Linked DNA regions of Tribolium castaneum. The protein of the gene in region 1 purifies or fractionates together with the protein of each later gene. This does not show direct contact. Links are inferred from orthologs where the notes say so. Each region holds a gene or a part of one and is shown on either strand. Other genes may lie near its edges. The genes, in order: serine/threonine/tyrosine-interacting protein and ago.

Region 1 (3,672 bases):
TTATTTGAGTTCACATTTTATTGCTCATTTTTGTGCGTTTGTTTTCACTATGAATATTTATTTTTATGCTTCGTTTAAATTTTACTGCTTTTACTTTGCAAGTTCCATATAACAACAACCAGGCCTTCAATTTTTTACTGTCGAAAATGTATTTCAAACTTTCGTTCATTTTACTTTCGTTGGTTTTTTGTACCTTCGAATACGAAGACTGCGGTTTGTAGATCAACTAAACACATCATTAACGAAACTAGAATTTTTTAGGTTCAAAACCAGACTCACTTTTATCAGTTCGGGTTTCAGACTGTGAAGAAGACCAAATATGCACATTGCAGAAAGGAAAAAATGCATCAATTGAAATTACTTTCACAAGTTGGTAACCAAAATATAACTTAGAATATTTACGAATTTTTTTCAGATGCTGAATCAAACACAGTAAGTGCAAAAGTGTACGGCGTCTTAGCAGGTGTTGTCGAAACTGAGTTCCCCTTTCCGTACCCCAACGCTTGCCTAAATTCTGGACTAACTTGTCCTATCGCAGCCGATGAAACATACACTTATCAGACCACTCTGTTCGTGTACCCAACTTATCCAAATGTATGTTTAAAAATTGTATAGATTGTTAATTGTTTAATTAGATTCCAGTCCATGTCAAGTGGGAGTTGGTGGATGACAACGGTAGTGACATAATTTGTGTATTAATACCAGCAAAAATTAAGTAATGCAGTAATGATGACTTTGTCTGGTTATTAAATAAAAAATTGTAACACTTAACATATTATTTATTTCAGGAACGAAACAAATGTTACAAAAGTATAAAAATAGGCTCTTTAGACTAATTTATCAATTTACAGTTTCATAGAAATAGGCACTATTTTTATGTACATAGCTGGAAAAATACTAATACAGTATAAATATCAGTTTCATGAGGAATCTCTACAGACACTCATTGGATTATGCAGGTTATAAAACTAGTTTAATTGTGCTCCACACAATTCCTCCAACGCTAATTCATTAAATTAACCAATTGAGTCATTCAATACAAAATTAAACAACGCAACGTTTGACTAGTTCTGAGTATTGGTGGAGAAATTTCACTTGAAACTTGAAATCTCCCTTTGTAAGTAATCAAGACGGAATTTATCAAATAAACGCAATGGCACTCTGAAGAAAAATTTCCAAAGGATAAACGAACAACAAAAATAAAAACTTCAACATATTAAACTTACGGAACTTAAGTAAAAACAACATAACAAAAATTCTAACAGAAGCAAGAGATTCAACAGTTTTAACTTTTCTTCATCATCCACAGTTTATACAAGTGGTTGGAAAAGTCCGGTTGGCAGTTAATGACGTGGTTATTGTTATCGGAAATCGGACTTGGAGGCGGTTGGATGAGATCATAGTCTATACTTTCGCAAAGCTGCTCGGACTTACGTTTCTGGCGTTTGTTATCGTTCGAAGTCTCGCCCTTTTCCAGAGTTTGTCGCGCTTTATAAATCGGCTCATACTCAATCAATTGTGCTAAAAAACCCTCGTTCGGATGAATGCACCCTCGTCGTTGTTTCACACACTCAATAGCCTCCCTTTAAACACAACAACGCAAATAAATCAGAATCAACTCGACCAGTATCCATACTTGCTACTCAATCCATACTTTTCCATAATGTACGCTAGGACTAAAGTGGCGCTGCGGGAAATGCCGTTGTTGCCGTGCACCAACACCTTGCCGTTCCGCTGAAACGCCTCGTCAATGAATTGCCTCACAGTGGGAAAGAACCGGATGATGTTTTCGGTGGCTGTGTCCGCTATGTTTAGAGTTAAATACGTTATAGAGAGATCATTGATTTGGGGCTTGATGTACTGGGCTTCTATGTCCTGTCGGACGCAAATTATGTGCGAAATGCCGTGGTCTCGGAGTGTCTTTAGGCAGTGCTTTTGAGCAGAGGAGTACGGACCCAGGAACAGCCCCGGGACGATTTCTTGCATATTTCTCCTCATGGTGTACGTCCATTCGCTACATTGCAGCGTGGGCATCTCGTGCATCGGCTACCAAACACAAGTACTTCATATTTTTAGCTCAATAAGTGGCAAATGACAAGTGGGGGTTAGGTTTTATCTCTGGGCGCCAAATGGAAAAGAACCGAAATTACAACTACCCATGCATTAAATGTGTTGTTTTGCCCGAATTTTAACAATTTACGGTAACAAGAGTTGGATATTTGGGAGGGAAAGACGGAATTTAGCGAAAAAATGAACTAACCTCATCTTGTTGAAATTTCACTGAACTGGAGTTAACGTCCAACATGGTGTGAATTCCACACGATATTTAGACAACACTTGGTTAATACTTTATCACAATTATGGCATATTAATCCTTCGTTAAATATTAATTTAGAAATTAATTAATTTCTATGTGCAGTAATGGAGTAGCATCTTCTGCTCACTTCGGACAAAGTCGGTTGTTTTCGGTGGGGCGCGCATGCGCGCCTTTAATCTATAGACTTGGCGCCAGAAATAAAAAACAGTTTTCTACAATAAAGGTTTATTCAGACCAAAACATTGAAATCGAAATAAAAAAATACAGCCAGATTGTATCAATTTGCAAGACTCTGCCATAAAGCACTCGTTACCTTTACGACCTACAAAAATATGCAAGAAACGTGATTTTGAATTGCAAAGGTTTATTTGATTGAGATCTACAGTAATATTATCAACGGCTGGCTCTGAAACAGGTAACATTTAAGACATTAAATGTTAAATTCACCTAATTTAACCTTATATTACTTTCATCAGCGAAAACGCAAGTCGGGCAAGAATAAAACTCGTAGCTAATATCACTTTGTACAAAAATATCAGTAAAATTAAAACGAGTGCATATTGCACGAACTGTAGCAAAGATGTGCATAATACTTATTAATAGTTCACATTTAATTGTTACTTTACAATTACATAATTAGACTAGAATGTTCAAGCAAAATATATACACATCACTTAAAAAAATATACAGAGGAACAATATTAACAACCAGGAAATAAATTAATATTGCAACTGAAATCTGTGCTATGTCAAGCCTAGACTAAATATATTTAAGCTAGATTTTGGGTTCTCATCTGTGCTTCCTTGACTACTTTACGTCGGACATATAACTGGAACAATAAAAACGGCTTAAAATAGGAACACTCGTTTATTGCCCTCACCTTTTAGGATATAGTCCGTTAATAAAGTGGGAACTGTGGGGCTGTCTTCATTTATGGCTTTCAAAACTACAACAAACAAATTAATCGAAACGAAATTGCTTAATCGAATTAGTCACTTTTAATCAGGACTTGTAACGTTTGATTATCCGGTGGTCCGCTATCTAAATGGTACGGAATGACAGTGGTTAAATACTGCAAAAGAAAGCAACAATAACACTAATTTGGTCAAATCCCAGTTCGTACTTTCGGGTCCAGTCCGCTGGGAGTCTTGGACGCATTTTTTAAACTCCGCTTCTTCTCAACATGGTATTGTCTACGTTTATTTTGAACGGCAAGAAGTAGGGAAATAAAAGTGTTCTTCAGCTCCTTCTCGTACTCCAACTCGTCTCTGAGGGCCAACTCCGAGATAAGCGTTTCGGAAAATTCCCTAATTAAAACCTCTAGTTCCAGAAATAATTCATTTAACTGCGACAGA
Region 2 (4,550 bases), on another chromosome or scaffold:
AATAATTTGTCTTTGGTAATATAAAGCAATAAATATTTTAAAATGTAAAATTTTCAATAACATAGTATTTAGTTTTCATTTAAAAAAATGGAAAAATTTGTATTAAGTTTGGAGATATTTCATTTCGAAGTCGAAAAAAGTTAATTATCGCTTGTATTTTCTCACCGTTGGTTTCGGGCGCCGTCGGCGCACGAGCAGAGGGCTCAGATGACATCGAAGTAACGTCAGATTTCTTTTCTGGTAGCAACTTCTTGCACGGAAACCCATTCTGCACGTCCAACTTCCGTTTTCTCTAAAAAAACCGAACAAAACACATTACAACTGCTAACAAAACAGCACAAAATATTCGTTTCAAAAAATATCAGAGAGAAGATTAGGCTAAAATCATATGTCGATCAACGTATTATGTTATCGACTCAACACTTACAAGTTTCATCATTAAAAAAAAAGAAGTACGACTGTTTTATTTTTGTTAAGCTCTTTACATTTGCGATTAATACATAAACACCATTAAGGTGAAAATAATGTAACATCTTAAACCGGAAAAACTAGCGTTAAAAAGCAAAATTAACCTGATAAGTTTTTTATGACATGCAGTTAATTATTACTACACTGTATTCTAATGCATGTGATTATGTGGAAATTGCTTTATTATCATAGATATTTGAGTAACATTGTTTACTAAACACAGAATTAGAGGTTGTCAAAGGTAACAAACATTTTTTCAACAATTTAAAAAAAAATCTACAGGCATAATAAATAACTATGAAAATTGTTAGTTTGTATTATACAACGATAATTTCAAAAAGGATCAAAATTATTACCTTTTATGTCTATCTTTAATTTACGTTATCGCCCAACTCGTGTTTACCAATACAAAAACAACAAGTAAACTAAATAGTTAAAAACAGCAAAGTCCCAAACAGGTTAAAGACCTTCATTGACCATGGGAATGTTTAAAAAACGAGCAATAACTTTAATGCACTACTACGTAAACGTGACTTATTCGCGTATTACTTATCGATTTTTCCCCAATGCCCCTTAATTATTCGTTTTGTTATTTTATCTAAAAGTTATATAAAGATTAAATACATAATTAAAACTGTGACGATTGTTTTTAAACTCGTATTATACATAGATAAGGTAAGCGTTCATTAAAACCAAATTCCTTTAAATTACATTTTCGACCAAATAGTCAAGACCAACTCGTATTTTTTAATTATTTTCTTTTTAAATTGTCAAAACAACAACCAAAAATGGTCACAACTTTACTTATGAGAGTAATATTATTTATTATTAGTCACATTTTGTTAAAAAAAATTAAACAAAAACTAGTATTGAGAAATTATTTAATACAACAGGTATTGCAAAGATTAAGTACCACCTGAGCAGTGGCGTAATAAAATGTGTCACTGATTTGTTTACAAAAAATTGCAGATAATTACACTAGTTTACCACGATTTTTACCAATGTCAGTAGAATAATTACCACTAAATCTGATGCTGAAGTCGAAAACAAATTAAGTTTAAATACTCATTATAAAGTATCAGTATTTGACAATTTTCGCAACATCTAAAATGTTACAGATTGCTTCTTCTCTTGTACTATCAGGGTGTTTATCTCAATGTGGACTAGTAGAAAACGAATAACATATTTTTATCCCAAAAACCTTAATAACTCTCTTCATAAGATTTGATGAAAATATTTACCATTTGATCGTTTAAGTCTCCCAGATTTTATAGACAATTTTACCACAAACAAAACAAAAGTTGTTTGGACTTAATCTACATTCACTTGAAGATATTTTAAAATAATTACAAGGTTTAACAATAGTTGATCACAGAAACAATGAATGCCACCAGAAACAAATTTTTAAAACTTTTAGTGAATATATTAAGAAAACTACACGTGTTAGACAAATGTGACATATATTTTAGTTATCAGTGAATAAGAAAAAAGCAAAATTAATATAAATTATCTCTGCCTGTAATTTTTTGTTTGCCTTGTGCTAACCATTTGCAGAAAATGCATTATCCAGTGATGGAAACAGTCAATGGGTTTATTTTTAAAATAATATTATTGCACATTCGCTTGAAACAACAAACATAATTTCTGCTTACCCAGTATCTGTCAGTGGCGTACGACCCACTTCTCTTCGCGTACGAACTCCTTGGTGTTGTTTGATGAGGACCTGGAGGTGAACCTGAAAAAACTTCACTGCTATCTTCGTCCTGTAAAAATAATTTAGTAAAAAGTTAACACACTGTATGGAGTTACCTCTTCTAGCTCTTGATTTTCTTCAGAGAGGTCTCCTTCAGTACAATCCTCCCAGTTTTCTTCCTTCTCAAAACTGTCTTCTTCATCACATTCTTCCAGACCTAGCTTATTGAGAAAGCTAGTTTTTTCAGTCTCCTCGCCCGATTGACTAATTCTAAATATCTCATCTAGTTTTTCACTCAATGGAGCTAAGTGATTCTGGGATGTACCTGGTGCATTATCAGTGGTACACAACGACTCTAGACAAACGGTTTCAGTAGGGCTAGGGCTGGTGCAGTCTTGTTTTGGAAGTTCTGAATCTCGATTAATACTAGATAAGGGGTTGAAATTACTTCTGCCTGAAGGACATGATTCTGCCATTATCTACAGTCTAGAAAAAACAAAAAACGTCTTAAGTAAAGTTTTGCGATAAAATTATCTCCGCGAGTGAAACACGTTATCCTACTTAATTACAAGATGAGTGCAATGGGGGAAAAATGGTTAGAATAATTGCATCTGACATACCTACTGATGTAATTTTCTATCATTATTCGAAGGCATGAAACGAAACTACTCTAACTACCAGATAATTGCAAGAGAAGAAGGAAAATTAACGAAATGCTTCCAAAAACTATGCATCAAGGACCACTGTTTGCTACTTCCTATCACTCCGAGACACTAAAGCGAGTTTTCTTGTGCATCTCGCTGGGTAAAATACCTTTTCAAAAAACTACACTGACGGCCATTCTCAAAATACTAGGATTTATTGGCACCATTACAAATATCTGGACGAACTTGTGTAAATGAAGAATAAGAAATATCAGCAAAATCGCGTGGCTAAGGCGCCGCCCCGTTTCACAAACACCCTGACTCCACAAACCATTCGCCCAAAAAAACATCCAGGACCCCAAACTTTTGGAAAACACTCACCAATTGCAGGAAAATCCGTTTTGTGTTTTTCCCCAACACCATTGCATTGTATTTCGAGAATTTACGCTACGATTTCGTGACTTTAGTTACAGGAGTAGCAAGGTGACAAGCTGGGGGAATTTAACGGCGCACATGTGATTTTAGTGGCTTTTTTGCACCAAAACTTAACCTCGAACTCTTTTTTGAATTTGTGTTAAAATGATTGAAAACGAATTAAATACGGTGGTTTATCCACCGAATAAATCGCTGCAACGGAAAGTCGAACTTTCGACAACACCGGTCGTTTACAAACACTTACTTTTCCTAGAATTTAATGAAAAAGGTAAGGTGGGTTTTTTTCAATTTTGGCGATTAATTGTCTTTTAGACGAGTCAGTTCTGGGGTGTTCGAACTTAAACGGGACTCTTTGGGAAGGCACTTTGCTATTTTTCTCAAATGAGGAGAATTTGTTGCTTCTGAAACACAACAGAAGCTTGATTGGGTCCACGGTTTCAGACGGGAAATTTTTAAACGACAGTACTGTAAGTTTCAGCTAAATGTGTACACACAACAAATAATATGAAAATAGTTTGCGTTAGCTGAAGATACGGGTCTTTTAAATATTCTCACAATATCACGTGAAAACCAAACCATACAATCGGCAGGTTATTATAGGGAAATAGATCGCATTCCGAAAATCGCAGTTTGGAAGAACAGCACACGGATACTCACCTGCTCGAATAAAGCGGTGACCATTTGGGACATTAATAGCACTATCCGTAAACCACTAAATCACTTTCCGTAAGTTTTATCAACAATTTTCCCTTATCTAAGTTTTATTTCCAGCGATTATCACACGGAACTTGTAAACTATGTTGATACACTTAAGTCGGAACCAAACGTCTTTGTCACAGCTTCAATGGACCGGAAGTGCTGTATTTGGGACGACCGTAATCCGTGCCCTGCCTCAGGTAATTATTTTTTCGTCCAGTGAGGCGAAAAAATCATGTATATTTCACGGGAGCAAAGTGAAGATGTAAACATTATTTTCAAGTATACAAGTGTCCAAAGTTAGCTACAATAGGAAATTGTTTTTTTTTGTAATGGATGTAGCTTTTAATACTGATGTTTTTGAGCTAAATTTTTATCGAAAAATATTTATTTTTCAGTTTTGTACAACAACGAGTTTTGCTCTCTAACCAGCGTTGCATGCAACCAACACAACACGAATTACGTTGTTGTGGGCACAGAAGGCGGCGACATTTACCTTCTGGATAAACGCGAACCGAAAGACTTTATTTCAGTTGCTAGTTGCAACTGCTACATCTACAGACTGGCTTTTGATGATTACAATAAACTGGCAGTGTGTGGCGACAATAACAAAG

What was found.
Region 2: the proteins of serine/threonine/tyrosine-interacting protein (region 1) and ago purify together in Homo sapiens (affinity purification with western blotting; 4 studies listed by BioGRID and IntAct, with this or other methods). This does not show direct contact. The link is inferred for Tribolium castaneum from reciprocal best matches to the Homo sapiens genes STYX and FBXW7.

What each region holds. Positions count from the first base shown.
Region 1 is NC_087402.1:6,747,656-6,751,327, forward strand, and holds serine/threonine/tyrosine-interacting protein, read right to left. Parts: upstream 2,447-3,672; 5' UTR 2,306-2,446; coding exon 2,261-2,305; intron 2,047-2,260; coding exon 1,637-2,046; intron 1,584-1,636; coding exon 1,286-1,583; 3' UTR 759-1,285; downstream 1-758. Other genes in the region: Unc-76 (fasciculation and elongation protein zeta-2), read right to left, coding at 3,130-3,146, 3,198-3,263, 3,314-3,389, 3,441-3,672. UniProt on the Homo sapiens protein: Catalytically inactive phosphatase. Acts as a nuclear anchor for MAPK1/MAPK3 (ERK1/ERK2). Modulates cell-fate decisions and cell migration by spatiotemporal regulation of MAPK1/MAPK3 (ERK1/ERK2).
Region 2 is NC_087394.1:36,179,857-36,184,406, forward strand, and holds the start of ago (archipelago), read right to left. Parts: upstream 3,043-4,550; 5' UTR 2,782-3,042; intron 2,648-2,781; 5' UTR 2,638-2,647; coding exon 2,278-2,637; intron 2,232-2,277; coding exon 2,121-2,231; intron 293-2,120; coding exon 166-292; intron 1-165. Other genes in the region: uncharacterized protein LOC655874, read left to right, coding at 3,385-3,508, 3,553-3,707, 3,755-3,966, 4,012-4,136, 4,335-4,550. UniProt on the Homo sapiens protein: Substrate recognition component of a SCF (SKP1-CUL1-F-box protein) E3 ubiquitin-protein ligase complex which mediates the ubiquitination and subsequent proteasomal degradation of target proteins.